Linked DNA regions of Xenopus tropicalis. The protein of the gene in region 2 interacts with the protein of the main gene of each other region in a biochemical or structural test. Links are inferred from orthologs where the notes say so. Each region holds a gene or a part of one and is shown on either strand. Other genes may lie near its edges. The genes, in order: snap29 and ehd1.

The links.
Region 1: the proteins of ehd1 (region 2) and snap29 form a complex in vitro, tested with the Homo sapiens proteins (2 studies listed by BioGRID). The link is inferred for Xenopus tropicalis from reciprocal best matches to the Homo sapiens genes EHD1 and SNAP29.

The regions. Positions count from the first base shown.
Region 1 is NC_030677.2:153,632,986-153,635,501, reverse strand, and holds the end of snap29 (synaptosomal-associated protein 29), read left to right. Parts: intron 1-942; coding exon 943-1,103; 3' UTR 1,104-1,738; downstream 1,739-2,516. UniProt on the Homo sapiens protein: SNAREs, soluble N-ethylmaleimide-sensitive factor-attachment protein receptors, are essential proteins for fusion of cellular membranes.
Region 2 is NC_030680.2:32,934,216-32,938,054, reverse strand, and holds part of ehd1 (EH domain-containing protein 1), read right to left. Parts: intron 1,249-3,839; coding exon 836-1,248; intron 630-835; coding exon 465-629; intron 1-464. UniProt on the Homo sapiens protein: ATP- and membrane-binding protein that controls membrane reorganization/tubulation upon ATP hydrolysis. In vitro causes vesiculation of endocytic membranes. Acts in early endocytic membrane fusion and membrane trafficking of recycling endosomes.

The DNA.
Region 1 (2,516 bases), on a different chromosome or scaffold from region 2:
TGGACCTTTCACACATCTGGCAATTTAAATATGGTATTGCATGCTTTGGCATCTGGATTACTATAGGCTCTGAGGATCATTAACTACCAATCCTACATTTACTATTATCAGTATTACAATTGCTTTTTAAATTACTGAAATGTGTGCCTTTGCCCTAATGGGGTAACCCAGTGTCTTTTTACATAATAACACTGAAAGGATTTGTGTGGTATAAGACTGGGAGTGAAATAATAAGAGAGCTGCTCTTCAAATACCCCTTTGGCCTGTCTACAAAACCATTATGACTGCTAAAGTGATACTGACACGAAAAAAAAACTTTTTAAAATATAAATCTACATAAAAAGTTGCCTATAGGTCGTGTTGATCATTTTTTACTGATAGGGCTGCTTTTGTAAGTAATTGTTACTTGAAATCCCAAAACCTGACTGTTTTGCCAGCCTGACTGTCCCTTCTCAGCCTGTCAGTTATAGCTTCTAATGCTAACGGCCTCCTGCTGGACAAATATGGCCGCCCCCTCATAGAGGAACATGGGGGATCAGATAGGGAATGTAAAAGCTTGGACAAATACTTTTATGGCAAAATTATAAATAGCATGCAAAGACAATGTTATGACAGATGTAAAAATAATTTCATTTCTGGTGTCAGTATCTCTTAACAAATACTTCCTGTTTTGGCATATCTTTCATAAACAGTTTGGAGGATTGCGACTCTAATTACCAACCAACTAATCACATTAAGAATCTATTGGGAAAGAAATAGGCTCCCAACAGATTTTAATGACTGATTCTAGGCATCAAGGCTACCATTTATAGATGACCTGGTTAAAGCTAAATGACAAGGTGTAACCCATACACCGTATTTTTTTTTTCCATACCTACTAATATTGCTGCATTTTAAAAATAATAATACTAATCCTAAGGTTGTGTTATTCCTTTCTTCCAGATGACATGTCTTTAGGTTTGGGTCGCCTGAAAAACCTTGCACTAGGACTTCAGACAGAAATCGATGACCAGGATGAGATGCTTGGGCGCCTAACTGGCAAAGTAGATAAGATGGACTTAAACATCAAGACTACAGACAAGCGGATTCGCGAAGAGCTATAAAAGACAAATTTCAGACTTGACCAAGACCGACTCTTGAGTTTTATTCTTGTGGTTTTTATAATGTTATGCAGTTTTTTTTTTTTTTGTTTTTTTTTATACTGGGACATAAATATCCCACACATCCCTATCTGAATCTTATATCTTCTGTATAACTATACATTACATTCGTTAGCATTAAATGTAGATGATGTTTTGCAGTATTATTACTAATATAGATCCTTATTAAGATATAAAAATGAATTGTCTTACTATTGGAATTGTATTGTAGTGATTGGCAGTTTGTTATAGCTCTGGATCTGAATAAAGTATTTGAGTTCATTTGCTAGGTATTACCTTACTGCTATATGACAGAATAGACATATGAACATGCCTTTATTAAAACTGCAATATTTTACACATGCTCGTAACATAGGGTTTAATGGGCCCTGCCATATGCCACTTTCTTATTACCCTTATTATTTTAATCTAGTGTTCTGAAACTTTGTGTATAAATATGTTTATAAATTTATGTGACACTCCCGTAAACCATACTGTGAATATTTTATCAGTTTACTTGTTAAGTTAAAAAAAAAAGCCTAATAATCTTGCCTGTTATTATTTTAACTAACTTGTTTAATATATTATTTGCTTTCTGATTTTGTGCCATTTGTCTTCTTTAGACAAATTTGAGTCTGTAGACTTGTTTCTCTGCCTGACATTTCAGATAATTTATTCATACTCCCTTATACTTATTAAATGTTTTGGACATAGTAATCCTTATTTCCCCTTTTGTATTATTAGCACACTTGGGCATATTTTAAAGCTGTGTAAAATATTACATGAGCAATAACACCATGCACCCTTGTAACTATCAATTACAAAGTTGTAATCATAATCAAAACGGGGCACATGTGCTTCAGATAAAATCAGTGGTAAAGAATTTATAGCAGCTGTTGAAGGCAAATGTGCCTAGCTTTTTAGTAGCTGTACATTAACATATATACTGTATATCTTTAAGCAGTACAAGCTATGATAACATCTGAGCCTGTGTTTCACTGTCAAATGCATATATGTTTGAGGGCGTGTTTAAAAAGGCCACTTTGCATACTAGACTGAGAAGTAGCACAATAATCTTGTACAGCAGCATTTTTACCTAGACATAATATATTGATAAATATAAAAGATTATTTGGCTACTTGATGCAGGGTTGCATGTCCTATATCATTGCTATATTTAACTAATTTTTATAATTGTTTTCATCATAAACAATAACATGTAGTGATAAATTGGAACATCCCTACACAGTGTATACACTTGACTTAGGTTCCTCCAAGAGTTTCCATAGAGAACTATCTTGTAGGCCGAGTGTACATTAGGGTAAACAATGTGCTTATATCTTTCTCCCTGGAATCATTGAAGTCCACTTTATGACAT
Region 2 (3,839 bases):
ATAAATAAAGATATGCATACATACACAACAGAATAATGCCCTTTATGTGGCACTAGCTCTTTAGCCTACCTTATGCACCAAGCCTCTATGACAAAAGTAATGGCAGCATATAAGTGCCATCTAAATTAGCTCTGAAATTGTCTCATATGCAACATATCCAGGGTTCAGTTTGGGATTTGGCTTTTTTCGGCAGGATTTGGATTCGGCCGAATCCATGTTCCTGGTCGAACCAAATCCTAAATTTTTAATCCTTCCAATTAGGATTCGGATTCGGTATTTGGCCAGGTCCTTTACAAAGGGTTCGGACGAATCCAAAAATGTGGATTCTATGGATCCCTAAAAAAACACAGTATAGAACAATTTCAAACATACCATACACCATGTCTCATACTAGTTTCTACTTAATTACATATAGGTGGAGAGTTAGTTCTGCTTATTTATTGTATTAAAGCAAGCAGGCTTACCTGCATTTTCTTGATGTTGGGGAAGTCTCCAGGAGAAATCTGGTGCTCTTTCTCAATTTTCATGTAAATCTCGTGCAGGTTGTTGATCAGCTCTTTCTTTTTATTTTCTTTTCCAAATACATTAGGCATCTCTTTCTTTAAGGCGCCAATTATGTAAGCATGAACCTTGAGATTTAAAAACATTATATTAACACTTCTTCTCTGGAAAGGCCTTAAGGGAGATTTAGGTCCAATAAAGCACAGGTTCTAAGAAGCAAAGCTGGCCATAAGTAGTAGCACTGGCCCATACATACTGTAAGAAATACTTTTAAGAATGAAAAGAAAACCTTTCATGAACGAATGAGAACAAGTCCAACCTTCATTAAACTCACCTTGGCTAATCTGGCTCTCTTGATAAGGTCATTTAGCTTACGAAGAGCAGCATTTCTTGGAAGAGACTGGATGTCCTTGAACAGGTCCTGTTCTTCTGCCTCAAACAGTTTGCGGTTGTCAGGGATGAGCAGAGGGTGGGACCAGAAAGAGCCAATGTAGACCCTAACTACTTCAGGAGTGTTAATGATTTTACCCAAGGACCACATGAGGGCCCCATAAACTCTCATTAACTGCTGAGTCTCAATCTGGTCTGCCTTGTTAAGCACTACGCGGATCTTGTCCTCGTGGTTTTTCAAGGCTTTGATGACTTCAGAAAATTCATCAGAGATGTCCAGCTTGTGAGCATCAAAGAGAAGGATAATGCGATCCACTCGTTCAGCAAACCATTCTAGGACTGCAGCAAAGTCATACCCTAAAAAAGAAGGCGGCATTAATACATAATGGTACAACACAAAAGCAATGTATCGACTGGAAATATATTATTTTATTTCCTTAAAGGAATATAATACCCAGAGAATGAATACTTAACCAAAAGACAGTTTATCATATAGACAGTTTTCCTTGAAAATTTACGCATCCTGGAACTTTTGTGGTCTGTTGTTCCAACACTTACTCAATGGGGATCAGAGATCACAAAGGGAAGTGAATAAAAAAGGATATAGCTGTTTTTTTCTGCATTAAAACTAACCTTGTTCTGTATAAACTAAATGGAAAAAAAGATATATTTCTGTGATTTTAAGCCCCTAGAAATGGAAAAATAGAGTCACTTCATGAGTCATATTCTACTATGCCTTATAAGGGAAAAAAAGATGGGGCTATTTATTATGCCAAACTAAAACACTGTGCTATAGTGAAAAGAATAATAAACAAAGCCAAGAGAGCACTTGAGGTTGGGGTTAATGTTACAGCAAGAATGACACCAAATTTTACAATGTCTTTAACAGTGAGGGGCACATGGGCCTATTAAGTCCTGGTTGAATGGCGAAGATCAATGTAAAGTTTATTTGCACTAAAGCATGTTGCATTAAAGTCAGCTGTAGCTCTATAAAGGATCGGCAGACTTTTCTAAGTCATATTTTCATTTTGTTACAATATGGCCCTTTAGGGACAAAAACAATATGTCCCATCAGACATTTGACCCACTGTTATACGTCAATATCACTGCTGTATGGGAATCCAAACATATTTTTCTAGTCCTTTCTCCCTGTAGGTGTCACTATTTTCACTCTTTTAAATCTTGGGACTATACCAATAAGGGTGCCGATGCTATGCCCTGGAAAAAAGGTTATTATCCGAGAAGAACTATTATTTATCATTGCTTTCATTTTACACCCCAAATAATCAAGAAACAGTGTTTTTTTTTTCCTTTAGAAGACGGCTCTCATAGAAGTGTGCAATATATTGAGGGAAATTATGTCTTGGCTAAAAGAGAACAGACTAATGAGAGATTGCTTTAAAGATACATGTAGTCAGAACCAGATATGCCAATCCACACTCACCAGTACACCCACCCTGGTCTTTCCACGTATGCTCCCGCCTGGTGTACAATATTTAAAGGGTTCGGCACCGTCCCCTAAGTTCAAAAATACTGGCACAACAGGACTTATTTAAGTCCTAAGCTTATTTAATTTTTTTTATATTTAAATTTTGAAATTTCACATGGGGCTAGCCATATCCTTCTTTTCCCATGGTGCCACAGCCATGTGACCTGTGCTCTGATAAACTTCAGTCACACTTTACTGCTGAGCTGCAAGTTAGAGTGATATCCACCCCCCCCAGCAGCCAATCAGCAAACCATTAGGAAGGGTGCAAGATAGCAGCTCCCAGTAGGTATCAGAATAGCACCCAATAGTAAGAAATCCAAGTCTGGCTTGGGACTCCTCCAGTTACACGGGAGTAGGAGAAACAATAGGTTACCTGAAAGCAGTTTTAATGTGTAGCGCCGGCTCCTTCTGAAAGCTCAGACTCAGGCACAATGCACTGAGATGGTGCCTACACACCAGTATTACAGCTAAGAAGCTGAAAAATCCATTTGTTGGTTCAAGAATAAAATTTTAAATGTTAGAGTGAATTATTTGCTTTGCAAACAGTGTAATTTATAATTAAAAGTACAGGTATGTGATCCCTTATCCGGAAACCAGTTTTTCAGAAATTTCCGAATTACGGAAAGGCCATCTCCCATAGGCTCCATTATAAGCAAATAATTCTAATTTTTAAAAATGATTTCCTTTTTCTCTGTATTAATAAAACGGTATATTGTACTTGATCCCAACTAAGATATAATTACCCCTTATTGTAGGCAAAACAATCCTATTGGGTTTATTTATATTTAAATGATGTTGAGCAGACTTAAGCTATGGAGATAAAAATTACGGAAAGATCCCTTATCTGGAAAACCCCAGGTCCCGAGCATTCTGGATAACAGGTCCCATACCTGTACATCATAAAAATCATTACAGAAACCCTTTAAAGTTACTTGGTATTGTAGGCGATGTGTTAACACCATGTGTTTAAAATGAGAAGAAAAACAAACAGTGATTCATGCCAACCACCAGTTTATTTACGAAGTATATTTCCAATGACGTTTCACCGACGTCTGCACTCTGAGAAATATTATACAACTAAAAATGAAGTCATTTAACTCTAGCAATATCTGGTAACAAAAAAAGAACTTCAACCAATATGCTGAAACTTCTGAGCTTTTTGTTGAACTCGTTGGTGTCACTATCAGACCCATTCTTGCTCATAATAAATTGTCTACAGTAAAACTTTTCATTCCTTTATTAAAAAAAAAAAAAACACAAAACGTTACACTGTTACAGGTACAGACACACATACCTATACAGTGCCAGAAATTCACTCACCTATATAAAACTCTATGTACCCATACCTAGACTTAACTAAAGCTGCTCATACACAGGCAGATATAAGCTGCTGATTTGGCCCCTTTGGACTGAGCTGGCAGCTTATCTGCCTATGTATGGGCCATGTCAGACAGCAAAT